Linked DNA regions of Xenopus tropicalis. The protein of the gene in region 5 interacts with the protein of the main gene of each other region in a pairwise test. Links are inferred from orthologs where the notes say so. Each region holds a gene or a part of one and is shown on either strand. Other genes may lie near its edges. The genes, in order: ehhadh, nek6, bysl, kansl1, necab2, iscu and tex11.

Evidence for each region.
Region 1: the proteins of necab2 (region 5) and ehhadh interact in binary tests that used the Homo sapiens proteins (3 or more experiments, as listed by UniProt). The two-hybrid records come from large-scale screens. The link is inferred for Xenopus tropicalis from reciprocal best matches to the Homo sapiens genes NECAB2 and EHHADH.
Region 2: the proteins of necab2 (region 5) and nek6 interact in binary tests that used the Homo sapiens proteins (3 or more experiments, as listed by UniProt). The link is inferred for Xenopus tropicalis from reciprocal best matches to the Homo sapiens genes NECAB2 and NEK6.
Region 3: the proteins of necab2 (region 5) and bysl interact in binary tests that used the Homo sapiens proteins (3 or more experiments, as listed by UniProt). The two-hybrid records come from large-scale screens. The link is inferred for Xenopus tropicalis from reciprocal best matches to the Homo sapiens genes NECAB2 and BYSL.
Region 4: the proteins of necab2 (region 5) and kansl1 interact in binary tests that used the Homo sapiens proteins (3 or more experiments, as listed by UniProt). The two-hybrid records come from large-scale screens. The link is inferred for Xenopus tropicalis from reciprocal best matches to the Homo sapiens genes NECAB2 and KANSL1.
Region 6: the proteins of necab2 (region 5) and iscu interact in binary tests that used the Homo sapiens proteins (3 or more experiments, as listed by UniProt). The two-hybrid records come from large-scale screens. The link is inferred for Xenopus tropicalis from reciprocal best matches to the Homo sapiens genes NECAB2 and ISCU.
Region 7: the proteins of necab2 (region 5) and tex11 interact in binary tests that used the Homo sapiens proteins (3 or more experiments, as listed by UniProt). The two-hybrid records come from large-scale screens. The link is inferred for Xenopus tropicalis from reciprocal best matches to the Homo sapiens genes NECAB2 and TEX11.

The regions. Positions count from the first base shown.
Region 1 is NC_030685.2:54,570,281-54,574,537, forward strand, and holds the start of ehhadh (peroxisomal bifunctional enzyme), read left to right. Parts: upstream 1-1,457; 5' UTR 1,458-1,518; coding exon 1,519-1,592; intron 1,593-3,220; coding exon 3,221-3,324; intron 3,325-3,425; coding exon 3,426-3,598; intron 3,599-4,257. UniProt on the Homo sapiens protein: Peroxisomal trifunctional enzyme possessing 2-enoyl-CoA hydratase, 3-hydroxyacyl-CoA dehydrogenase, and delta 3, delta 2-enoyl-CoA isomerase activities. Catalyzes two of the four reactions of the long chain fatty acids peroxisomal beta-oxidation pathway.
Region 2 is NC_030684.2:29,198,623-29,202,122, reverse strand, and holds part of nek6 (serine/threonine-protein kinase Nek6), read left to right. Parts: intron 1-170; coding exon 171-311; intron 312-3,500. UniProt on the Homo sapiens protein: Protein kinase which plays an important role in mitotic cell cycle progression. Required for chromosome segregation at metaphase-anaphase transition, robust mitotic spindle formation and cytokinesis.
Region 3 is NC_030678.2:70,761,285-70,765,556, reverse strand, and holds the start of bysl (bystin), read left to right. Parts: upstream 1-1,472; 5' UTR 1,473-1,490; coding exon 1,491-1,749; intron 1,750-2,863; coding exon 2,864-3,026; intron 3,027-4,272. Other genes in the region: med20 (mediator of RNA polymerase II transcription subunit 20), read right to left, coding at 1,313-1,326. UniProt on the Homo sapiens protein: Required for processing of 20S pre-rRNA precursor and biogenesis of 40S ribosomal subunits. May be required for trophinin-dependent regulation of cell adhesion during implantation of human embryos.
Region 4 is NC_030686.2:17,274,763-17,278,262, reverse strand, and holds part of kansl1 (KAT8 regulatory NSL complex subunit 1), read left to right. Parts: intron 1-1,959; coding exon 1,960-2,101; intron 2,102-2,198; coding exon 2,199-2,312; intron 2,313-2,731; coding exon 2,732-2,793; intron 2,794-3,500. UniProt on the Homo sapiens protein: Non-catalytic component of the NSL histone acetyltransferase complex, a multiprotein complex that mediates histone H4 acetylation at 'Lys-5'- and 'Lys-8' (H4K5ac and H4K8ac) at transcription start sites and promotes transcription initiation.
Region 5 is NC_030680.2:48,267,409-48,270,908, forward strand, and holds part of necab2 (N-terminal EF-hand calcium-binding protein 2), read left to right. Parts: intron 1-3,054; coding exon 3,055-3,191; intron 3,192-3,500. UniProt on the Homo sapiens protein: May act as a signaling scaffold protein that senses intracellular calcium.
Region 6 is NC_030677.2:146,313,442-146,317,595, forward strand, and holds the start of iscu (iron-sulfur cluster assembly enzyme ISCU, mitochondrial), read left to right. Parts: upstream 1-1,354; 5' UTR 1,355-1,383; coding exon 1,384-1,473; intron 1,474-4,154.
Region 7 is NC_030684.2:44,770,466-44,774,463, forward strand, and holds the start of tex11 (testis-expressed protein 11), read left to right. Parts: upstream 1-1,198; 5' UTR 1,199-1,253; intron 1,254-3,214; 5' UTR 3,215-3,230; coding exon 3,231-3,270; intron 3,271-3,998. UniProt on the Homo sapiens protein: Regulator of crossing-over during meiosis. Involved in initiation and/or maintenance of chromosome synapsis and formation of crossovers.

The DNA.
Region 1 (4,257 bases), on a different chromosome or scaffold from region 5:
ACCCAAATAGCATTAGTTGTACTGCATATATCTCCTCCGTTTGCCAGCACCATCACATGTTCCTAAAGCGAATAGCAGCACACAGGCAGAACTATCTCTGATAAAGTTCTGATGTGTTTGAACTGAGCTCAGGAGAGAAGGTTGGGAGAAAAAAACTGAAGCAGACAGCTAGAGCTGAGTTTCTATGGGAACCAGCAATGCCATCTCTTCACTGGCTGCTAGATTAGGGGGCATGTTTAGTAATCTGATCTTACAACAACTGAGCATGCCCACAAGCCAACAGCCAAAGCAAATTCCTGAGGGAGGGGGCCGAGTGGGTTACAGGAGGAGATGCAAATCTAAGTGATTAAGGAGATGTTGCAGCCTTACTACCGGTATTAACCTCTGGACAACCAGTGTGGCAGGTATTGAGAGATTTCAAAGAGGCTGTTCACTGATTACATTTTTGTGTGTGGAGTTTACATGTCCTTTAATTTCCGCCTTACATGCAAGCCCAGAGGGATCATAAGAACGTGGTGCTTCTCTCTCCCTGTCTTCCGTTATCCAATAGCATTCTCACGAATTTTTTGAAACCCTCCGAAGTTCATATTGAAATCTGTGCAGGTAGCAATTTTTCGGCTTCATTCGGGCATTTTTGCATGCATGTGACGTCACGTCTGCAAGTGAGCACCGGTGCGTGATGTCACTTCCATGCAGCAATACTGATGAACGAATAATTATAATTTCAAGATGGCGAACCACAGGTGCTGCCTTCTGCTTGCCTTTTAACTTTCCACTCCTCTGGAGTGGGACTAGAAAAAAATAAATGAACCACAGAGGCAGGAAATTGAAAAATAAAGTGGGGAAATAAAAAGCTTTTGGGCAAGGATATACAAAGAGAGTATCAGGGCCTAACACATGAAGAAAACAAGTTGGGGAAGTGGAATACAATTTGTAGTTGGGCAGGGATAAGAAAAGGAGTACCATACTAACTGTTGTAGGAATTAGGAGGTTAGGGTATAGGATCTGAGTATATTGGGAATTTTATCTAAAAATCTTTTAGATAGTAGCATTGGTAGGAAGGTGGAGTACAGATCATTCTTTAAATGTGGGAGTGGGTTAAATCGGCTATACAGATGTATACTTCTCTCCCAAGAATGAATTTTCTAAAATCTAGCTTTTCCCATTCATTAACTTGGGTTTAAACATTACAAGGCCATGCAAATATGCCACACCAAAGTATGTTTATACATGCTAGTATAATCTTGAAGCAGTTCATATTAAACCTTACAGAAGAGAAAAAAACAAACACAAATATGCATCAGCAGCTTTTAGTGACTAGCATGCTACTCTTGCTATACTGCATAGCTATGGCTTTCCCTCTCTACCCAAACACAATTTGTGATACACCCACTGAGCTACTGATTGGTCAAGTGTCGGAACAAACACTCGTTACATATCAAGGGAAGGGGCGGGGCTTCTCGGCTCTTGTTTCAAAGTGTAGGTGCACTTGAACTTTGTACTTATACAGCAGCGGCGATGGCTGCCACACGGACTCTGTCACATACAGTGGCTGTCATCAAAATCAACAATCCTCCTGTTAATGCGCTGAGGTAAGACGTTGAGCTGGATTCGTTGTGGGAAGGGACCTCAGCTATAGGTGTTTGTGGTGGACTGGAATCAATACACCATGAAGTACAAACCAGCCTTTTCTCGACCTTTGTATCTAAGTGTAGCTGAACTGTAACACCTTAAATGCCACTGATCATTGTAGAATTCTGGGAGTTGTAGTCCCACAGTAGCTATGAATACAGATTAAACACTCAAAATCCTAATTTGCAAGTTTAAGGCAAGTGCAATGCTCTGGTTTGGAATGCAAAATTGAGCATGCTTAGATAACTCAGAATTTATGATGAAACTAACCAAAATAGACACCACTTTGCATGTGTATGGGTGCATTCTGCACAAGGGATTGTATATGCCACTTGGAGAGTGCCTGCAATTACACTCTTAATCTGGATAAAAAACATTGTGATTTGCATCTGAAAATGGCACTTTGCACAGCGCTTTATGCTTGCGCCCTTCTGAAAGCTTCTAATAGCCTTATAATTGGCTCCTATTTTGCATCCCTCCCTCTGTTTCCCCAGTACCTTCCAGTGCTCTAGAAGAGTAATTCTATAAGGTGACCGGTATCTCCATACTGCAGCCCTCCACTGCTTGCACTGCATTACCAGCATTTGGCTGTCCATTTTCATGGACAGTATTTTTCTGGGATGTGCATGGTAAAGAAAGTGCAGTTCTGAGAAATATAGAGTAATTTAGAAATTGCTGGTAGCTGAATTATTTATCAGCATATAAACTGGGCAATATATATTAATAGACAAAGTGGCAACTTTACCTGAATATGCTCTAAGGTAACTTGCAGTAAATATCTCTTTGGCAGGAAATGAACAAGAAATATGAAATGGTGAAATCTAGGCTTAAGGTGGCCATGCACGGGCCGATTCTAGCTGCCAATATCGGTCCCTTAGACCGATTCGGCAGCTTATCAGCCCATGTAGGGGCACCAACGACGGGCCTGCCCGACCGACATCTGGCCTGAAATCGGTCAGATATCGATCGGGCAGGTTAAAAAATTTAGTCTGATCAGGGACCGCATCGGCTAGTTGATGTGGTCCCCAAACCAACTGCGCCCATTACCATCGTTCTTATGCCCAGGGCCAAACGACCGAATTAGCCTAAATTCACCCAGTATAGGTGGGGATATCAGAGAAGATCCGCTTGCTTGGTGACTTCGCCAAGCGAGCGGATCTTAACGTGTATGGCCACCTTTAATGTGTATTTCCCTGTAAAGAGGCAATGTATAGATGAAGCTGGTTTTAAAGATGCACTGTGTTCAGTAGTAACTTATAAGAAATGCCTGCTCCATCTGTAATATTGTAGTCATAATCTTGAGAGATGCTAGGGCTCAATAATATCCTTTTGTAAAGCTGGACTAAATATTGCCATTTCATTAAAATATGGCTACTGGGTGAACTGGTTCACTGATAAATAATTCTTTTTAATATGGTGGCTCTATCACACAACACACAAAAGAACTGAAGTCTGCTAGCTAAAGGTGCGTTGGTTTTTGTACAATTTGTGTGTTTCCTTGAGAATATGTTTGGGCTAATAAATCAACAAAAGAGGGACCATTTGCTTTTATTTGCTACCATATATTGTGCTTATTTGTCTGCCATAGCACTCCTGTCTGTCAGGCACTTATCAAGGAATTGGCAGAGGTCAAAAAGGACCCATCGGTAGAGGCCATTGTCCTGTGTGGAGCAAATGGAAAATTCAGTGCAGGTATGGTTGTGTTTATTTTTCTGTCACTGGATGGATCTGTGCTATCATTTTCTTTTTAAAATAGGTGATTCCATATTCTAATACACTCTTTACTGCCCCAGGAGCAGACATCCGTGAGTTTAGTTCTGCAGCTCGGAGAACCGTATCTTTAGAAGATATAAATGCTGAAATAGAAAGCACCACGAAGCCTGTGGTGGCTGCCATTGAAGGAGTGGCTCTCGGAGGAGGTCTGGAATTAGCATTATCGTGCCACTATCGTGTGGCACATATAAAGGTGCAGTCACTTTAGCATCTACTAAGATGTTAAGATCAGCGGGACAGGCGTCCATCTGGGCGCAGTCAGCATAGCAACAAAACTATTTGGCTTTGTCTGGTTCTTACCATTTCAGTTTACCTGCTCTGCCACTAAGCTGTGGCAGGTTACAAACAACAGTGAATAAAAGCATATAACAGCAATAGTCAAACTGTGGTAATGAGCTCCAGTATTAGTTTTGGTGGAGTTGTTGTTTGGAAGTGATACCTGGCACTTTCCCTGTCATAAGAACACTGGAAATAATATTAGGTCCTCATCTGTGTGAATTTCCCCTTAAAGTGGCCTTTTGGTATCTGATATGTACAAGGATTATGAATAACTGAATAGTAATGGGCAAACTATTTGATAATTTTGCTCCTACATGCGGCTACTCAGCACTGTGCCAAACTGTTCCAATAGAAACCCCTGGTTGTATGCTGCTGCTTTAAAAATAAAGTTTAATTGCACAAAGTTCATAACAGAATTACAGATAATTTTCTCTTGTTGGCTTACAAGTGCTATGCCTTGGGGAGGAAACCATAAAGTTTGTCTCTTCAAATAATGCAGTCCCAGAGGGCAGGTGAAACAAACATTTTTAGGCCGTAGGCTTTCACTGTAAAAGGTGAAAGTAGCAAACCACA
Region 2 (3,500 bases), on a different chromosome or scaffold from region 5:
AATAGGGGTGCCAAACCAGCTGCCCTGTATCAAGTATAAGTGCCATGCCTTATCACTGACAGACTTTTGGAAGAGAGCTGGGAGTAATAATTTAGCAACAGGTTAAAAAGTCCATGGAACTATTCATAGTTCACATACAGGACTTATTGTTTTATTTCTCTTTTTTACAGAGACACATGACTTCCTATCCCTACCGGTGCAATTTGGCAGACTTCAAGATAGAGAAGAAGATCGGACGGGGGCAATTCAGTGAGGTCTACAGAGCCACCTGCCACTTGGACAGAAAGCCTGTGGCCCTGAAAAAAGTTCAGGTACTTAAAGCTTGGAAACACTGGGCCTTTTCCATCCTCACACAAGGCCGCGCAATCCCACTGACCTCTGTCTGCTCCTGTGCCTGCACTTACAGGCACTGCATTGGCCTGGCTTCAGATATACAGAGTGGATTTTGGCAGAAAAATGCATTTTCCGCAACAAAATTTAGCTCCGTGTGTCTGCACACAGTCTAAAATAGTGGAAGAAACTGTAATTTTAAGCAACTTTCTAATTGAAAACAAAAAATAATAGTTTAAAGTTTGTAAATTGCAGTTGAAACATAATGTTACAGGAGTCAGGTCTCCTCTAGTCAGAGGCAAAATTAGTTTTGGGTGGTGGACCCTATAAACTTGGCAAGAATTATGCAGGCAGTGGCGACTAATCAACTGTGCAGGGAAATATACAGAGAGATAAGGTTTAATAGTGAGATATATGTGTGTATGTGAGACACAAATATTCAATACAAATAACACAGGCCATGCTTATTGCTTTATTTTCAATTCATGCTTTCCAAGGAATCCATGGATAAACTTCAACCTGTTCCTAAATGAAGGGTATGTTTTAATATTCATGTATATATTTATATATATATGAGAAATGATACAATACTTGCATGGCTTTATGAGGCAATACCTTTTAAACAAGGCCTTATTATTCATAAATGGCTTTATTCTTTACTATTTTGAAGTCACATACAATTATTCTTTTTTTTGTTTATGATACAAGCAAATTTAATGGAATTTGCTTGTTTTTAGTTTTCTTGCTCTTTGCTCTGTTCATGGCCACATTATGCCTGAATTTATGAATTATAATGGGCCTCTCTTGTAGAAAATGTAAAAGATAAAACAAAAATACATTATATGAGGACACCACCATCTGCACTGCAGGGATAGGGTCATGCATAATGCTTCTACATTTACATACTTTAGCACAGGCACACTTTCTGTACACAATGCTGCAAGAACCACACCATTTATTACAAAAGCACAATATTTTCATAATAAGGTCTGTTGAGGTCTTTTGCAGAGGCCTGTAGCTGCAGAGGCTCCATCTGCCCCATTGTTAATCCACCCTGTGGCCATGTCCCTAAACCAGTCGGGTCATTAAACATAACTTCAACCGGCAGGATAACTTTGGGGTAATTTTTCCTTTTGCCTAATAGTAATTCTCCTCCTGAATCAGTGCATGTGTATTGCATTAGAAATGATCTTTACATTATCTATGGATGTTTGCAGTTTATCCCTGCAATGGATGAGTTCAATTTTTAAACAGTTTTAATAGGGGGTTTCAAATCATCTTTTGTTAGATATGGTAGGATCTTGGTAGTTACACTTCATACACAACTTTTGCATATGTTGCCGGTCATTTAGAAATGTGCTAAATGTAGAAGATGTAGTGCAAATATTCCTAGTACCAAAAAATTTGAATACATAACCTAAAATTCTAAAAAAGCGCATTGCTTTTAAATCAGTTTAATCTGCCAAGGTTCCAGGTACCTGGTATTACAGGTAGGGAATCCGTTATCCAGACTGCTCCAAATTAAGGAAGGCCATCTCCCATAGACTGCATTTTTATCAAATAATTCAAAATTTTAAAAGTGCTTCTGAGGAAATGGCGGGAGGCCACGAAACGCGTTAAGCGCTAGGTCCTCTGGGGATGTACTTGTGCCTTTTACTCAATATGGAATAAAAGGTTGTTTTTTATCTTGGTGGTGCTCCGCTACTCATTTTTCTTATAGCACTTTATATTATGGCAGTGTTCTCTTATAGAGACATTAAATTATGGGGTTCAATAAATTACTCCAAAGTGGAGTAATTTATTGAACTTAATTTGACCTGGGGCACAAGGTATCTGAAGTGAGGAGCATACACTGAAAATTGCACTTATTTATATTTGTAAAAATGGGGGAATGGGGAACAGCTAAACAAATGTATATAGTGAATAATGTACCCCCTGTTGTAAAAAATAGGGATATTATAGGTTACCAAGGAGTTTCATGACCACATACAAGAACCAGTTGAAGGCTTGGTGCTTTTATACAGGTCATGGAACTCCAAGGTGACTTCTAATATATTATATTATATTATATCCTCATATTTTACAACAGGTGGTGCATAATTAATTATAATACACACAAGATTGTTGGACTGCACGGTGAATAAAGAGAAGATATGCAACCTGATGTGCTGATCCTTATTATATATGTATTTACATGTTTTGACCTAGCATACAGTACTGACACACAATTTGACTAAATATATATATATATACATTTTTTTATGTATATATAAGTAATCCCTAAAGAACTGCCAGAAAAATGACATGTATTAACAAATCCAAACTTGCTCTCTAGATATGGTGCAGAATTATTTTAAAGTCCAGGCATGGGATTCATTATCCAGAAACCCGTTATCCAAAATGATCTGAACTAAGAGAAGGTCATCTCTCACAGACTCCCATTTTAATCCAAATTTTTTCTAAAAATTATTTCTGGCTTTAAAACAGAAAGATTACAATGACAAAGAAAGGTCATGGAAAGAAAAAAGCAAGGAAAGGGTGCCTTGTTTGCAAGCAAATAATTACAATAATACAAGATACAAACATGTGACTGTCAGTCCTCTTTTCCTCTTCCCCATAAGTTGTACCGAACATTTCAAATAAATGGAGCTGTTACCAAGTACTTCTTGATGACCACAGTCCATCTGCTAATCCCATATGAGTAGTTTACAAGCTGTTTTCACCTCTCTGTAATGCATGTAAAAATCTGATCACATTTACCAGGAGCCTGCAGACAGCTTTTAAACCAGAACTCCCATCAGCTTTTTATAAAGTGGCTTTTCAAAGTGTAAGGATGATTTAAATGGAAACCGTATCCGTTTTATATAGTGAGGGCAGTTTTACAGAAGGCCACATTGTGTATGGCTCCTGCTGCCGTATGGGAGGGTCTGGTCAATAAGAGCCAATTCTTATGCTTAATGCTGTCTGTCTATGCACTTTTCTTTATTGAAGAAATAATATAAATTAATAGATTACTAGGGAAAGCAAATTCTGTGGTGTAATGGAGAGGAAAGGATGATTTAAAAGGAAATTTTAACTAAATTTAGTAAGAGATTGGAACTACTGTTTATTAATGTTAATGCTGAGCCATTAAACATTTACTACTCGGTAAAAAATACAAAAAAATTCAG
Region 3 (4,272 bases), on a different chromosome or scaffold from region 5:
GAACACTACTATAGTTTATAAAAATACGCTGCTGTGTAGCCATGGGGGCAGCCATTCAAGCAGGAAAAAAGGAGAAAAGGCACAGGTTACATAGCAGATAACAGATAAGACACCATTGTATTCTACAGGGTTTATCTGTTAGCTGCTATATAACCTGTGCCTTTTCTTCTTTTGAATGGCTGCCCCCATGTCTACACAGCAGGGTTTATATAAACTCTAGTAATGTTTCTGAAGCAAACACACAACTTTTACCAGTGCAGGGCAGCAGTACATTATAGTTTAATTTCTTTAAAATATATACATTTTTGGTGTTACTGTTCCTTTAAGATGACTCTAAAGAGGGCAAAGAAGTTAAGAAAAACAAAATCTCTCTTCATATTACCAGTGCAGCTAAGCAAACACTGGCATGTATATTGTAAGATGTATCCAGTATGGCAGCATCATGGGCACTCAAAGGTTTAGCGTCACCAGAAAAGATTTTCAAAGCAGCAATTTGGAGGTGTCCTAATATTTTTGTGAAGCATTAAAAAATGTTTCTGCTTCTGCAGATTTTGAATAAAAAAGTAAAGTATTTTGCAGCATTTGGTATGTGTATGTTCCCTCCCAATTGTGCGGACTGCCATGAGAATGTGAACAGGAAAAGAGAAAATCTATATCCAATTTACTGTGATTTTCTTTTCCTGGAGCATTCCAATGCATTGTGGGTTATGTACAATGGTGGCATTTGGAGGATGCAGGCTGAAGGCAATCATACAGCAATAGGAAGTATGGTTGCTGCCTAGGCAAAAAAAGAAATCATGGCTATTGTTAATGTTATTTATAAGAAAGGAAGATAAACATAAGACAGATATATTTTGGTATAGTATATCAGTCTTCCTATATTCATAACTTTATACCCTATTAATAACATTGGCATCCAGCACATTTTTTTTTTTACCAGCAACGCTATTGGGGGTTCAAAATTATCATTAAAAAATTCTATTATTCCTTAACAAAGGCAAAAAAAAATCCTGAAAATAAGAGGCAGAATACATTTTCAACAGGTTATATTTACAGTGTTGATTTTTAAAAAAGGATATCTTTTAACTGTCTCCCTATTACCCATAGCATTCTTAGTGTGATACTGCACTGCAGTGTTGAATTCGTAGGATTCCGTTTTTCTATAATTAACAAAGCAGCAGTCATGCAAATAAGTAAGCGTAAACTTAGTTTACAAAAGATAAAAACAATCCAGAAGTTAACACGTATCTGCAAACATCAAAATGACGTTTCTTCTTTTTCTACTACTACATTAAAAATGACAAACACTTACCAAGTCACTCCCATGCTGGTACTTAATTGTACAAAACACAGCGACGTGTTATGACGTCACGGCGCTCAAAATTGTTGTCATTATTTGCGGTTCACGCAAGTCCCACATCGAGGCGTACGATGCCAGGGGAATAGGAGCATGCGCAGTGTGTGGATCTATGCACGTGTATGTCAGGAAAATGCCAAAGCACAAAAATTCTCGGGGAGCTGCTTCTCGCTTACTCCCCTTAGCTGATCAGATCGAACAGGAGGGAGAAATTAGACCCTCGTTCCGTAATAAGCGCAAGGGGAAACCTACAGACGACGCCGAAGATGATGGATACGTGGACGAGAAATTGTCCCGAAGGATTCTGGAGCAGGCCCGTATTCAGCAGGAGGAATTGGAGGCCGAATATAGTCTGGGGAATGTGACCCCTAAAGAGAGGACAACTGTTTTAGGTAAAAAAGGGTAAAGAAACATTTCCAAGGCAGAATACAAAACAAAAGTTTTTAAACCGGTATATAAAATCAGTGGGGAGTCTTTAGACTGAGTCATAACCAACAACTAGTGCTGTAGTTGTAAATACATAGAAACGAGTATGGGACAGTCTTAATAATCCATTAATGTAATCCATTTAGGGCCAGATTATATTGAAATTTTGCCATGCAAAAAAAGTCTACTGGGGGCCAAAGAAATGCTCAAATGCTCATTAGCTGGTTCAAATTGAACATTCCAGGTATATAATATGATACAGTCATACACATATAAGAATATTTGAAAAGTTGTACATAAATAATTTGCTAACTTCATTCTGTGATAAAATGAAGGATATCTAATGTGCTGTTTTATATGCTGATGCATCTCCATGCAAACACATGTGCAGTATGAAGCAAGGAGGGAAAGGAAGGGAGAATACCTTTTTAGAGATGGCTGCCTGTTCTAGAATATGTGAAGTAAGTGTGACTGAGTAAATATTTGATTAGGTGAGCCAAAAGTGTGGCATTTTTACTAAACAATAGGAGGACTATTGGGCAGTATGCTTTTTAAATTTTGACTTGCATTCTCCTTTAATGATTATACTCCACATAGCATATATACTTTAGTGTATATGTTATAAAAGACCGGAATCATGTGTGCAAAAATGGATTGTACACTGCACCTTCATCTTAATTTTTAAGATTTGATTTTATCAAAAATGTTTTTAGGACCCTTTTTAAATTAAAGGTACCATACAGGCAGTGCTGCTTTCTAGTTCTATTTAGCCATGACAAGGTACAGTATGCTCAGTTATACTAGCTGTAATTAGAACAAAAAGTGTGTAATATAGCCTAACATGCACTAAATGTATTCAGACTGTGACCCTTAACTCGCATTACAAATATTTCATGTTCTCTTGGGCCTACCCTGGGAATTGTTTGGAACCGGTGCTCCACAGAAACAGACCTTGTAGCATTCACTAAGTACAGTCTGAATTAACTTATTTACAAATTAGAGGTCATTATTTCTTCATATTTATCTTTGCTTGTATATTGGCAAATCAATCATTATCTTTTGTAAATCCTTGCCCTTCAGATTCCAAGAACAGAGCAGAGGGTTCAGACTCTGAAGATGATGAGTGGCCTTCATTGGAGAAGGCAGCCAGTCTGGAGAAAGGTACCCTCAACGAGGAGGTACAAATTAACCCTGAAGATGAAAAGGCAATGGAAATGTTTATGAATAAGAACCCTCCACTAAGGTAAAGTAGCAACTATCTGGAGACGCCAAGGGTTACATGGGTCAAATAAAGCCGGGCCAGAACTTGGGGTAGTCAGAAGGGAGCAACGATGTGGGGGTGTGACAGTTACCTCTTCTGCCTACCCCCTAGTACACACACTATTGCCCCAGCTGCTTTTCTCGCATCCTACCCGGGATGTCAGTGCACTTTCTCATGTACACACATGAGAGGTGGGGTGCAGGGTGGCCAATTGGGTTGCCTAGGGTGCCCGGTCGGCTTGGCCAGCCCCTGAATAAAATAATCATTAATAGAAATACTTTATAGCAAAGATTACGGAACTTTATCCATACACTATCATTTGTGAAATTTAACAGGTCTGGATATGTACATTTTAGTCAAAAGATGATTTTGAATAAAAACAAATTAGTGATGAGTGATTCATAACATTTTCAACCCTAACCTGCTGTTTTCCAACCCAGCTTCTACTATAACTTTTATGTGGTTCTTCTCCGATGACTCTTATATGGGTGGGACCAGTCACCACAGGAGATGGGTTAGAATTAATACATCACCTGGTTGCAGTTTTACCTGCCACCCTCTTAAACCCGCTTCTAGGGCTTGGTTCTCGTGGGTTTTGAGTCATCCCATTTATCCCTAGTGTGAATGAATGCTTAGTTTACCTATAGTTGCAACCAGTAGAGCAAAATGAAACTGAATTGCTGTCTCTGCTAATTTCTTTAGTATATGGCTTTACATAATGACAAACCCCTCCATTGTTTCTAATCCCTCTATCCCTCCTAAAAGGGGTGTAACCATGTATATTCACAGCCCAGTCACTTGTTTCATCTCACTAGGTCTCAGTGATACAAATTATATCCTAATTGTCAGTACATTCAATAGACTCCAGCTCTTCTAATTTCCCTGACAAGCTCTGTGCATTTGCCAGCATGCCGTGGAGGTTACTATTTTTCCCTCTAATATTTACATTACAGAACTAAGAGTTAGATCTGAGGTTACTATTAGGGGTTTTCCATGTAACAGAGGAATCTCCTTAGCTGGTAAAATGTATGTATCCTTGCTTATCCCACTGCCAGATCTACACTAGCTTTCCCATAACCCCCCCCCCCCTGCCTTTTTTAAACACTCCTCCAGCCTCTTAGCCATTTTTTTTCCCCAGCACAATGGACCCCCATTCCATTAAGGAGCAATCGGTCATGGCTGTATAGATTGTACCCCAAAGAAAAGTCAGCCCAGTGTTCTAGGAACC
Region 4 (3,500 bases), on a different chromosome or scaffold from region 5:
TGTCCTGTCTGAGCTGCTATTAAATCCCCAGACAGACTGTCGAACCCCCAGCCATGCAGCACAAGGGTCACATGATTCCATGGATATCCACAGCAGGGGAACATAAAGGCAGGTGGGGGGATGATACAAGATCCTGGGGCCCTAAGATTGTTGCACAATTACAGCTTTCATCCCACCCAACCCAAGCCCGCACTAGGAAAATATAAATGCATTCATCACCTCTTAAAAACCATCCCATGCTGTGTGCACCATTAGGAGTATGGCATTATTGGTTGTGCCCTACTAAGCTGCCTGACTATATGTATATTTCAATCCCAACCTGGATTTTGTTGTGGAATGGCCACTGCTGTGTGTGGAAAGTTCCGTAGTAGTGCGGACTGATGTGGATGATTAAATACTCTGTAACGGGCAGGGTCATGTGTTAAATGAGTAATAATACTTTTTCATGGTTATATTTAAAGGGCAAGTAAAGCCATCCTACAATAAGGCGTGTTCTGGGATGTGCTGGCAAAATTTTACCAGGTCCCAGCACAGAGGAGCTGTATATGTTTCAGGGCTCCTATTCCGCCTTTCTTACAAACATTACCTGATCCCCATCCAGTCAGTGTTACTGGGCAGGACATTTTACTCCTGCATTTAGTTAAGGTCTCAAAGGTTTATTATAGGGGCAGTTAGCTTTGCAATTTATTTATTATTTTAATTTGGCCATACACAGGCCAATAAAAGATGCTGACCTGTCCATTCTGACCAAGATGGCAGCCTATAGGCCCATGAAAAATAGGCCTCTGCTTTTGGTGCGTAGCCCCCACCGACAGGACAAGTGGATAAACAGCTGCTTCCATGCACTCAGATGTTTTGCTGCATTGAACTTCCCTCCCACATACAGACTGCTTTTACCAAGGGATCTGGGTGACTGCAGGTTCATTGTGGAGGATTGGTTACTACATAGTGACTCGCCAAACGCCTTCCTTCTGCTTAATATATAGCAATTCCAAAGCCATTCTGCCCACCCTCCCTTTCAATTTCTTATAAAAGAGTCAAACCCATTTAGGGAAGTGGTGCATGAGGCTATTTGCACTGGTTTTCTGCTTGGTGGGTAGGTGGCAGAATACTAGGAATTGCCTCTCCATTGATGGTTATAGTACCCTGCTGGTGCGCTTGCAGATCAGGTGATTACCATACATAAGCCAGCATTTTGCCACTGAGTGAGTGTGCAAGAAGCAAAATATTAGGAATAGCCCAAAACAATTAGAAAGTGATTAATTTTTGCGGGGCAAACAACCTTGGCCTTCTGTCCTTTTGTTTGCATTATGTTACATTAACTGGGCACATACCAATCCATGTATAGTTACTCAGAATACTTTTCTGGGCAATTTTGTGTTATTGTATTAGCAGTTTTTCACTGTTGATATCATGAGCCCCCTGCCCTTGTGTTCTGGTGGATGCAAGACAGAAAGGCAAAAAGCTTTAATTTACTTGTGCAAGATGCATCTCCTGACACTTCTCTGCTAGTTTCTGTTGCTCCTGTCACATTGAGTGTAGAGCGCCTGTTGGCATTACTTGCTCCTTTATATTATAACCAAAACACCACTAGAAAGGGAAGAGCCAGTTAAGTCACAATAGACCCACCCCTAGTACCTTTCTGAATGGTTTGGCCTGGGGGCTGAATTGTGTATGTGCCGTGTTGGCTGGGTGTGACCAACTAGGTCTTGTCATAGCCTGTAACCCAGAGAGATGCCATAGAGCTGTGCCACCCTTGGTACCTCCTGCACAGAGCACAATACTGCGGATAAGCGCTCTGTTGGTGACCCTAATATAGCAGTAAATACCAGCTGCCAACTCAACTGGCCAGCATTTTACTGGAACAGTCATAACTTTTATTCCTTGTTAATTAGGATAATGGTTAAGGGAGTCATGGGACAATTAAATACGATCTCCCATCATTTTATTTGTGTGCAGGAAGCGCCGGTGTGAATGGAGCTGGGCCCAGGAGCGTGCGGATGTGGTGAGTCGATGGAACTGGCTGCAAGCTCATGTCTCCGACCTGGAGTACAGGATTCGCCAGCATACAGATTTCTACCGACAGCTCCGTTCAGGGAAGGTAAGGAACCAGGGAGGTGATATAGGGCTGGTTTCTTCTAAATGCCCCATGCACAGTGAATCTGCTATTAACATATGGCCTGTCTGTTTGTCCCTAGGGGCAAGTGGTCCTGGGGGAGGCATGTCCTTCCGAAACAGCTGGGGAGCCTCTGCGCTCTTCCCTTCTGGACTCAAGAACGTCCTCTTCTCCTTCACCAGATGCAGAGAGGCGGGTGAGTTGTGGTTCTGTGAGGAGCAGCATATTTGAGGAGTGGATTTGGGGGTGGGTATAAAAATGAAGCTACTATCGTTTTGTGCACATGGTGGCTATTTGCTTGTATTTTGCTGCAGGAAAGGGCAGACTTCCCTCCTGTAAATAAGCGTGCAGATGTCTTAACCACAGTCAGTTGGGGGTTAATGTCATAGCTAATGTCATGTGATTGTCTCTTTTGTGTGGATTTAATTCCCTGCGTCTGTTTCTTGTTCTCTAGCGCCCCCTGCTGTTGACACGTGTATGCAGCCATGCACCACGTGAATAAAAATAAGCATGTTAGTCCTGCACACTTGGCTCATTTCAGGGCACCAAACAATAAACATGGCTTAATTTTTTTTCTTGTTAACAAGGACGTCAACTTTTTGTGCTTCTTCATAGGCTGATTCCAGCACCACAGAAGCCAAGTCCTTGCAAAGACCGATTAATGGGATTGTTAACATGTAAGTAGTAGTATCTTTTTTGTATTTTCTTATTGTATGGATTTTATATAAATTAATATAATACATACACACATACATGTTTCAATAAGGAAAAAGGAAGAAATCTAAAAGCATGAAGGACCGATCTATGTTTCTTAACTCACAAGTAAGAAGGTTAATAGTGAAGCATTTAAAAATTGCAAATCAGAGGGGCAGACATTTCTTTTAGGACCGATAAATACTACAAGTGTTGTAAAACACCAATGAAGAAGGGAAAAATAGAAAATGAGGAAGAGATTGCTTCACGTCCATGGACTAGTTCCAAAAATGTATAAATTATGTGAGTTGAGATTGTTGCAGATTATGCATGGTTTGCAGAACATTTTGGAGGGCTCCTGTCTCCCCTTAGTCTTAGCCTTAGTTATTTCATTGGCGTGTGTTTATCGGCACAGTCAGCTGAATGAGCAGCCCCAGGTGGTAAACTGCTTTGATAGCAAGGAAGCCTGCCTAAACCATAGCAGGGTGGGGGATATTAGTTTCACATGCCCCTGTTGGAGAGGTGAATCCGGCAAAGGCTACCAAATTCTTCATATGCAGGTTTTAATGCTGTTACTATAAGGTTTTATTTGTATATGGAAGCATTTCAGGCTCCTGGCAGTATCTGTATTGAAATGTGATGTTTGGCATTCTTTTATTTCACCCTGCGTATTTCTCTTTTTTTCTCCACT
Region 5 (3,500 bases):
GGTCGGTCCAGGCAGCAGACAAGAAGGGTCAGGAACAGGCAAGGTCAATACAGGCAGCAAACAAGAGAAGTCAGGTACAGCCTAAGGTCAAAACACGGCAGGAACAACACAGGAACAACACCCAGGAACTCACAGGAGGAAAGCCTACGTTGGGCAGGGATTACAAGCAACAAGCGCCTTAAATTTTTGAATTTTGGCGCCAAAATGACGCATGCGCAGAGCGACGGACACGAGCGTGCATGCGCATGCATAAGCGAACACGCATGCGTGTTAAAAGGCAGCGCGCCGTGTGCACACGTGCCTAGGAAAGGACGCCAATGGAGGAGGCGGCGGCGGCGTCCCCACCGCCCCACTAGACCACCAGGTACCTTTATACTACATCATCAACTGGGAGGATTCAGCTTGCTGTTTGCTTCAAAGAGTTCCCCCTCCCTCCCATCGCATGGTGTTGTGAACTAGATAGCAGGCAGGCTTGATATTTCCATTGCCTGCCTACTTCAAAGGGCTTCCCCCCTCTCTGCTCTTACCACAAAAAATTAAATAGCAGGCCAGCTTAAGCTTTCCCGTAGCTGCCTGCCTGCTTCTAAGGGCTCTCCCTCCCGCCTCCCCATTACACATAGACAATGGAGCTGAGCTTTTCACACACTGGCTGAAAGCAGAAGGTGTGTTGCAGGTTTGTGATTGGGCATATTTATTCACTTGGAAGGCATTTAAATTAAAACATGGAAGAAGAGAACAAACATGGCTGCTCCGTGGGTCTGAAATTCGTGCTACCATAATTATGAAGCGATTTAGTTGCAGATTTAGTTTATAAGGAATTTAAAGCTGATACAAATTAAAATACAACAGCAGGTGTAAAATAAAATTTTAAGTGGCTGTCAGTATCACTTTAATATGGTAGGGATTAGTGATAAGTGAAACTTTTCACCAGGTTTTGACACAAAATTGACGAAAATTTGACAAAAAATTGTCATCCGTTGACTTCAGTGCATTTTGCCATTTTGCAAATTTTTTGGCAAAGCGAAACGGAACAGATTCGCCCATCACTAAGACCTTAGATTGTAAGCTTCTCAAGCTGGCCATACAGGCACCAATATAATCATACAAAATGTACCTTTGTACGATTTTCAGACTGCATGTGGGCTCAAAATTATCATCCCGATAATTTTAGTACCATGGCGATCGGTCGTTTAGTCGATCGGACAGGTTAGAAAATTTCAGTCAGATAATGATAAAATCTGCACATGTATTGCGTATCTGATGCTATACTTGGGGGACCTACAATGCATAACCAGGAAGTCACTTTCATATAATTGGTGTCTGCCAACTATTTCATGTTCATCCTATTTTTAGGGATCAATTTCCGAACGTTTGTTGGAAGACTAAAATCTGTACGTGTATGGCTATTTTTAGGGGAGTTGTGAATGATTTATAATCTATGTAAATTTGTTGGTGCTATATAAATAACATGAAATAAATAAAAAGTAAATATAAATCTGACAAGGACCTTATACAGTCATGGCCAAATTTGTTGGCACCCCAGAAATTTTTCCAGAAAATCAAGTATTTCTCACAGAAAATTATTGCAGTAACACATGTTTTGCTATACACATGTTTATTCCCTTTGTGTGTATTGGAACAGAACAAAAAAGGGAGGAAAAAAAGCAAATTGGACATAATGTCACACAAAACTCCAAAAATGGGCTGGACAAAATTATTGGCACCCTTAACTTAATATTTGGTTGCACACCCTTTGGAAAAAATAACTGAAATTAGTCACTTCCTATAACCATCAATAAGCTTCTTACACCTCTCACTGGGAATTTTGGACCACTCTGCTCCAGGTCTCTCTCCTTTTCCCAACAGCAATTTTAAGATCTCTCCACAGATGATCAAGGGGATTTAGATCTGAACGCTTTTTGACTTATGTTTGGGGTCATTGTCCTGCTGGAAGACCCAAGATCTCTGATGCAAACCCAGCTTTCTGACACTGGGCTCCACAGTGCAACCCAAAATCCTTTGGTAATCCTCAGATTTCATGATGCCTTGCACACATTCAAGGCACCCAGTGCCAGAGGCAGCAAAAACTTTCATCAATTTTTTCTCTTCCGTCCACGCCCAGAAAGATTAGCTACAGTGCCATGGGTTGCAAACTTCTTGATAATGTTGCACACTGTGGACAAGGGCAAATCTAGATCTCTTGTGATGGACTTGTAACCTTGAGATTGTTGATATTTTTCCACAATTTTGGTTCTCAAGTCCTCAGACAGTTCTCCTCTCCTCTTTCTGTTGTCCATGCTTCTCTCCTTTTTATCTGCTTTCAGGTGTGATTTTTATATTGCCCACACCTGTTACTTGCCCCAGGTGAGTTTAAAGGAGCATCACATGTTTGAAACAATCTTATTTATCCACAATTTTTAAAGGGTGCCAATAATTTTGTCAAGCCCATTTTTGGAGTTTTGTGTGACATTATGTCCAATTTGCTTTTTTTCCTCCCTTTTTTGTTCTGTTCCAATACACACAAAGGGAATAAACATTTGTATAGCAAAACGTGTTATTGCAATACTTTTCTGTGAGAAATACTTGATTTTCTGGAAAAATTTCTGGGGTGCCAACAATTTTGCCCATGACTGTAAATGGAAAACTTGCCACACTGATATATTGACGATTTTTAGCCAAATATCGGTTGGCCATACTCTTCAGTGTAATTGGGAAGGACTGGGAGGACTAAATTGGCAGCTTTTATCAGTCACCTTGACATTCTCTAACCATATTTCATTGTAATAGATTCATTAGATTTAGATATTAGATTTATCATATACAAGTGAGAGGGCTCAAGGTCGGACACATTCACACCTCCCCCTGTCCACCCATCATGTATACAGAAAGCCATGATATTTTGCAAATTGGGTGATATCAGATTATTGAACATTGTCTGAACATATTTATTGTCTTTTCTATTTTGAAAATCTGCAATTTCTGTCCTGGTGTTCACAACAAGGGTATATTATGAGATTGGGACAGCATAATTCTCTGCTTGCCTTTGCTTCCCAGGTATATGAAAAGGGTACCAATGTGGACCAATTTGTAACTCGCTTTCTTCTGAAGGAGACAGCCAATCAGATTCAATCACTTCTAAGCTCAGTGGAAAGTGCAGTTGATGCCATAGATGAACAGACAAATCAGAAAAGGTAAGTAACTAAAACTCACATACGGTATTACCCGTTAGCCTTCTACATTTGAAAAGTATTGGAATATGTTGATGCAGTACTGTTCAAGGGAAAATACATGCAGTTTATCGGTAGTTTTTCTCTTTCATGGATTTTACATTAGTGAAGAACACAATCCAAAAAACTTATGTTTAAGAAGAAATATATAGATGGCAAGTTCATTTGTTAAGTTCCCCTTAAAAAGTAAAGCTGAGAGTTAGTGATATGATGTGATTTTTATAAATGCATCAGGAAAATATTACAAATACAAACAGAAAATGTTATTGACAC
Region 6 (4,154 bases), on a different chromosome or scaffold from region 5:
AAGGTAAGCCTGCAGCTTGAGATTAACTCTTTGGTAGCCTTTACTTCTCCTTTAAGTACTTTGGTCCTTGTAGCAATCAGTAGAAAGCTTCCTGGGCTTTGCATAGCTGTTGTCATGGCTGTGTGGGACCAGAGGTGACCCGATTCAGCACAGCCCATAGCCCAGCACCTGTCCCCGGCCCGGTGGTTGGGAACCCCTGATTTAAAGCACATAGAGGCCCAAGCAACCCTGCACCAGCCCAATATATAGTGACTTTCTGTAGGGCTAGAAATGGGTCTGGCAGAAGAGGCATGTGCCCAGGGTACAATGTAACCTGTCACTAGTCTGGGCTCTTGTCCTCCCACTTCCCACTCGTCATTTACCTCCCCAGTAGTCAACATGCATGCATGCATGCAAAGGGGTGAGGTGGCTGGCTGGGTTGCCTAGGATGCCCAGCCGACTTGGCCCAGCACAAACTGTCCATGGCCATAGGCCTCTGCAAAAAGAGGCAAGGAAGGCCACTTGCCCCCCCCCCCCCTAGAATTCTACACACCTGACCCAGATCGGTGTTGAAATGTAACATATTGCCCAGCTTGTCCTTGGTTTTTCTCAGCTACCTGCTCCTTGAGAAAAGAATTAAACAATAAAACTGTAGCTTCACAGAGCAATAGTTTTTTTGTCTCAGGTGTCAGTGATCCCCTTTTAAAAGCTGCAAAGAGAACAAGATGGCAAATACTGTAATTCAAAAACTATGGAAACAAATAATAAAGACTTAAGAATATATAATTGAAAAGTTTAATAGAATTGGCCTTTATATAACAAACTAAAAGTGAAATAAAAGGTGAGCCATCACTTTAAACAGCCCCCTGGTTCTACACTTATTAGTTGCGAGCAGCGTTACAGGCTTTGCTAATAAACCTAATACGTACGTAAAACACAGTTTGCTTTTTACTTAATGACTCTTCCTCCCCGCAGTTTTTGCGGACACCCATGTCTATGACAAATACGTACAAAGGTTCTTCTAGCCTGGAATAAAAAACTGACCAAAACCAACTCCGATATCGCGCTACTTTATTACACTACTGGATGTAAACTACATCAATTCCACTTCCACGTTAGCGATAATAGGCATAAAGAGTCCCTTGACTTTGCGGTTGAACTTGGTAAACCTAATAAAGTTATAGGGCAACAAAAGAAACTTATCCCTGCAGAATGAGCTAAAGCCCAAGTACATGACAGCTCCACACTTCAACGTTACACATAATAGAACGCTGAACCTTATTACGCAACCTGGCTGCAACAAACTTTATTGTTGGTTACGCCCCCTCAGGCCATGTGACCCGCACGTTGTGTGGCGTTGGCACGCCGCGTCCCTATTTGCTAGCTGCGCGAGTGGAGGACGCTATGGCTGGCGTGGGCCGGGTGTTTTGCTCCTTATGGAGAAAATGTGGGGTGCACGAGTTTCGGGTGCCTTGTGCTTCTTATCATAAGAAGGTATGCAGCGCTGTGCGTGGGGCGTACGGGGCCAATACGGAACAGGGTAGTGTGGGAGCAGGAAACGAGTGTTACATAAGGTGACACAGGTGTCACAGTGACAGCGCTCGCCTCGCAGCCCATACTATAAAGTACTTATTGCCAATGCAAGCCGACACGTTTATCTTTTAACACCGTAACCATCTTTACAGAGGACTACAACATGAGTCGTTTTAATTCTTAATAGAAGGCTGTCAGCTTCGGTTGTGGTGAAATACAGTAACAGCAGCCAGTGGGGTTGTCAGCTTCACTTCCCCGAATGGCTTGAGAGAAAAGGTGTCTCAAGAGAGAAGCCGAGTTAGCAACTGATAGGAATTGACAATGACTGACTCTAGCACTCTGAGGGTATAGGGAATATGGTAAAACTTTATGCTAAGTAAGACATGTTTGCCATAAGAGATACTGACATCAAAAATGTATTCTTTTTTTTTTTACTTCTGTCATACCATAGGCTTTGCATGCTATTGATTAATTTGCCAGAAAAGTATTCATCATGCTGTCCGTTAGAATTACAAGCTATAACTGACTGGCTAAGAAGGGACAGTCAGGTTGGTAAAACTGGTTTAGGACTTCAAGTAACAATTACTCACAAATGCAGCTCTTTCGGTAAAAAACGAGCAACATGACCTATAGGCAACTTTTCGTGGACATTTGTATTTTGAAGAGTAGTTTTTTAGTGTCAGTATCAAATGTACATATATAAATATAATTCACTGCACCACTACGGTAGCTGAAGTGTTTCAAGGTTATGAGGGGACATTTACGGGAGAATTCAGGAAAAGGAAATATTGTGGTTGTGATGCCAAATTCTCAGACTTATTTTTCTGCCCCTATAGACAGTTTTGCAAAAAATATCATTAAAAGTATGCATGGCTATCTTTCTGTCAATACCTGTTGTGAGTTTCTCATACAAGGCACTTTTGGCAAGCAAAAACACATTTGTCAAAAACAAATTATACATCTCTAAATTACTTTTTGTTTTCATTAAGAATTTGTGCCACTTTATTTCCTTTGGCTGCTTTCCTGTGTCAACAACACATACAATTTGGATTGTGGCATGATAGCTAATCTTCATCTTGGGGGTGGTCAGTTTCATTCCTTCGCTGCTAGTTGATTGGCAGACCTGACATTATATTTAACTACATCTTTCCTGGATGAGGGCAATCCTGTGATTTGGTAAAGACCAAAACACCCATATTCACTGGCACCGGTATTTAGTAAAAGTTAAAAGTATTTAAAACAATTTAGAGATATATGACTTTTAAAATGCTCTGATGGTTAATACGACAGCACATAGTATAGATAGGGATTTTGCCATTCTTTTGAATGGGAATGAAGTATGGGTCAGGATAGGTGTTTTGACCTTTGTAACTCTCCTTGAAAGAACTAAAGCACTGTGATGCCTGTGCTATAGATATTACAGATGTTTGTTGTTTACAAGATAAAATCTGATGCAAGTGTTTACAGGGGCTCAGCATTCATTGCCTTCCATTAAATTTGCAGCTTATATACTAACTGAGCAAATGGCAATTTTACACAAAAACTTTTGTACCAAAGTTAAGGTACATAAGCTACCAAATAAGGACTGTGTTTAGTTATTTGGTAGCCCCTATGTGAACTGGCAGACTACAGGAGGCTCTGTTTGGCAGTGCACATAGTTTTTATGCAAAAAAAAAAACAAAACTTGTCTGTAAGCCAGAAATTAAAAAAATAAACCCCTGCTTTGAGGCCACTGGGAGCAACATCCAAGGGATCGGTGAGCAACATGTTGTTCTCGAGCCACTGGTTGGGAGTCACTGCCCTAACCCATATAGGCCTAGATCTAACTAATTATATGCAGTGCTCCCTAAAACAGGGTTAAATCTAGCATTTCAATAAAAGTGGTTTGGTGCTTATTTTACAGAAATGTAATGTTTGTATTCACGTTGTAAACAAGGCTGGCATAAAAATGTGGGTCAATATAGTGACAGAACATTTCACTATTAACAGCAGTATCTCTGTATGCTGAATAGTACCATTTGTACTCCATAGTTTTTCACAGCAAGCAATAAAAAAAAAAAAACATTGTACAGATTTTTTTTTTTTTTTTAAACTAATTCATTTTTGTTAGTAATAATTTAAAGGAGAACAAAAGTTATAATCACTGGTAGGTGCCAAAATGTTAGGAAGGAAGAGGATCGCTCACCTGCCTGTGTAACAGGAGCACCAGCCAGGGGTTTCACGTAAGTGATTACAATCACTGGTGCCTTGTGCCTAACATTTGACTCTCCTCAGTGATTTAGCCTTTCCTTCTCCTTTAATTAGACTTTTTCAGATTTTGTGGCCAAGCTTACGTTTGTGTAGGTTTCATTGTTCTCTGGCACTGTTCCCTGGCATCTGTAATAGATTTGCAACCATGTGTGACTTTTTGTTGCCACAAGATTAGCAGCAGAAGTAAACATCTTGTGACTTGTTCAGACCACAAGTTCTTTTTAATTTGTCACTTGTCACATAATCATAGAGGGCACAGAAGATGGCCAAGTAACCTTGGCCATATTTATACAGATTGCTGTGTTTCTGTCCCAGTGTAATTACAGGCCTCAGAATTATTTGCATTACACTCAAGAGCATATTTTTTAACTGTTTAAATTAACATCACCTCT
Region 7 (3,998 bases), on a different chromosome or scaffold from region 5:
TTGTGGCTACTAAAATAGACAATGCTAATCATTTACTGATAATTGTCTTTATGTGTGTTTTAGCGGAAGCAGTTCTAAATATTGTCTATGGCAAGGTCATTTCTGGAGTTAAGTAAACATGAAAGTAGCTGCTACTAGTAGCTCACTGTGTTTTCACCCTTAGGGCTCTGGCACACGGGGAGATTAGTCGCCCGCAACAAAACTCCCTGTTCGCGGGCGACTAATCTCCCCGGATTGCCATCCCACCGGCGAAAATGTAAATCGCTGGTGGGATGGCATACGCGGTGGCGTGATTTCAGTATGCCACGTATGCCATCCCACCGGCGACTTACATTTTCGCTGGTGGGATGGCATTTCGGGGAGATTAGTTGCCCGAGACACGGGAGATTTGTCGCAGGCGACTAATCTCCCCGTGTGCCAGAGCCCTAAAGGATAGCAACAACGTCCTTGACAATCATACTTGACACCATTCTACTACTCATAATAGTGCTAAATAAAATGGTGCACATGGATGGCAGTCCCATAGAAAGAACTTTGTTACACTGTCACTGCGCAGCATTATATTGTACAGCTTAATCATTCTCTAAACAAACCCAGAATTGAGGCTCAAAATGAAGTTGCCAGACTATATTGGAGGCAATGTAAGTGCAAAGCATGCTGAAATAAATGTAGCCCTAGCCCCTATATATAGGGACCTGTGTATATGGACTCATGTAATCCTGTTCTTACTAACATAGTTCAGACTCCATGATTTCAATTTGAAATAGAAATATTAGACAGTTGACAGAGGAGACATTATCCCTATTGACATATATTACATATTGACAAATAGAAAGACAAGGTCGCAGTGAAGGTCACAGTGAAATTTTTTTTAATCTGTTCATGCCATTGCTTTGTTTTGCTGTTCTGTGATACTATAAAGCAGACATGAAGATTTTCCAGATGTCACTCCCTTCACAGTGAACATGCTCAGTCTACTCCTTGCCTACATAAATATTATCCCTCATAGTAAGAAATATGCTTTTGTCTTTCTTTATTTGAGCATTTCTGTAGGAAAAAAAAAGCTTAAATTAAGTAAGGCTTCAATCTTGCTGTAATGGGCCCAGCCTGCTGGGCTATTCACTCTGAGTAACCCTGTTTTACTGTGTGGTTCTGTGGCTGGGACTTAGCTCCGCCCCTTCCTTAATAAGCAGCTGTGAGGAGAATCAGAGCAGGGAATCCCCTCAGATATAGAGAGCAGGGAATCCCCTCAGGTATAGAGAGCAGGTTCTCTTCCTGTTTGTGTAGATATGTGAGAATCTGTCAGTCCGTATGGATGGTGTATAACTTGTGAATGCAAATGTGTGTGTTTGTGCATGTGTGTGACAGTTTTATAATATCTGTGCCTGTGTGTGAGAGGTAGTGTTGCCACCTGCCCGCCTGGCAAAACATACAAACATAGGGAGACTGGTAATTGTTTTCCAGAATGTGGCAATTCTAGTGTGAGAGGATTATACAAACAAAATATTTTATGCATATATGTGTGAGAGGGAGAATATACATGCCGTTGTGAATTTATATAAGGGTTTGTGTATTATAAGATATAATAGCAGACAGGGCCTTTCAAGCTCAGTCATGAGGTGTAGAGAGATGAAACACTGGAATTGCCCCCCCAGCGAATTGCAGAAAATAACCCAACCCCATGTCATGAGGGAGATAATAAGCAATTTCAGGCCTTTTTGAGACCTTATTTCATGTTATCATTAAGCGTGAAGGCCTAAAAACACCGGGACTGGATTATTATCTCCCTCATGAGATAGCGCTGCATTTTGCCATGCCTATTACCCTTAAACCGGCCATACACACACCGATAATATCGTACAAACCTCGTTTTCACTTCACGAAAATATCCGCCCTATGCCTCGTCTGCCATCAGCCTAATGCACAAGTGAAAATGCATTGATTCAGCCTGATTTAATGAATTATATGGGGCATTACCATGTGGTGACGAAAGGTTTTACTTTTATGGCTTTAGCTTGTTGTACCTACAGATGCAACCAGGACCAGATTTGTGGAGAGGCAACAAAGGCCCGGGCCTAGGGAGGCAGAAATTTAGGGGCAGCATGCCACCCCGCCGCAACAAAATTTTTTAATTTTGCACCCATAGGGAGAAATGGGGACCTTTCCCCACTGCTCCGTATTGGAGTTGAACTATTTGCGCATGCGCAATCGCTGCCGGGGGGGGGGGTGTGGAGTTCGCACATGCGCGCTCGGGGAGGAGAGGGGGGGCGGCCTAGGGGCACACGGAACACAAATCCGGCGCTGGATGCAACTGATTTGCAACTGGTGAAGTAAATGGTTGTTGGGAGGGTAATGATTTATCCCTGTCAATACCACAGTGGAATAAACTGGAGATCCACACAGCACTTATAGATGAAGTCAGGAACCATTTATTTAAAGCCACATTCACAGAATCTTTACAACTTTATTCACATACAGGGTCGGAAAAATCCCGGTGGGCCCCGACGGCCCAGACCCGACTCTTGCAGCGCTCCACCTACCCGACCACTCCTCCCCTGACGTGTTAAATTTACGCTCTCGGGGTAGGACGTCGGGTGGGGGGCCCTGCGAGGGGGGTTGGGGGGCCTGCCCCCCCGGTGGGCCCTTCACCCCCCTTACATCCCCCATACATTCATACACCCTTAGTTGTTATAACAGATCAGTGAGTAAGATATCACAGCAGACAGATGTTTCAAGTGTGTCAACAGACATCCTGCTGCCCTGAAGATATCTAGCATAAATGGACAAAAATAAAGATTTAGGGCAGCTTAACCTCCCTAAAAAGTAAAAAACATATTTACATGTGACTTATTCAGTATAACTCCCAACATTTAAATTTCCAAATGCAGACCAAATTAGTCCCACACCTGGCTCATCCTAGCCACACTCAGCTACACCCAACACTCCCAAATCTTCCTTTAACCCATTATTTGTTGAAAAACCCCTTCCCTTTTTCAGGCCTCTAGACCGTCTGTCAAACAACTGTGACTCTGGGAGATATGGGCAGTGCCTCAGTTAATACCTTCAGCATACCTGAAAACTAGGGACCTTAAACTGTAAACTCCACTGGGGCACAGATTAATGTGACTAATGTATAACCCCTGTAATGTTTCTCTGTGCGCATAATAATGTACTCCTGGGCTCTATAATCTGCTAAATGAATTTCTTTCTCTAGAGGTTTTGGTTGATTGATGAAAATGGAGGATGGGTCGTCTTTGAAAAGAATAACAGGTAACATTCATGTATAAAAATGGTCCCATTGCTTGACATTTATTGCTTTTTTTAAAATGAAATAAAATATACTTGTAAACACTGACAAATAAGCACACATTCTTCCCTTATGGCAGCCCACCTTTGGCCTGTAATACATTTTTAATCCTAAGCAAAATGCAGAGTACAACAGTGCTCTGGATGCAAGAGATGTGTAAATTAATATGATTTTGTACTACTTGGTGCTCTTGCATCTGCATACCCCCCAACATTTGAAAAATTAAAAGAGGGACAAAAAGATTTGGCGTGCAGCGCAGCAAATTTTTGACCACGCCTACTTTTGTGGCCACGCCCCAACTACCACCGCAAGTGTGCTATACCCTCATACTGTACTACTTAAGGAAAGCAATATAGCAACTACATATAAAATACAAATATAGAGAGAAGGCAGTCAGTTGAGAGTTATAAGTGAGTTATAACTATCTACCAGTTTTGCCTCCCCATACACAGTGCCCCCAAAGGCCCAATAGATAGTACCCCCCATGCACAGTGCCCCCAATTGCCCCCATACACAGTGCCCCCAACTGCCCCCATAGACAGTACCCCCATACACAGTGCCCCAATTGCCCCCATAGACAGTACCCCCCATACACAGTGCCCCAAATTGCCCCCATAGACAGTACCCCCCATTCACAGTGCCCCCATAGACAGTACCCCTAATACACAGTGCCCCCGAGTGCCCCCATAGA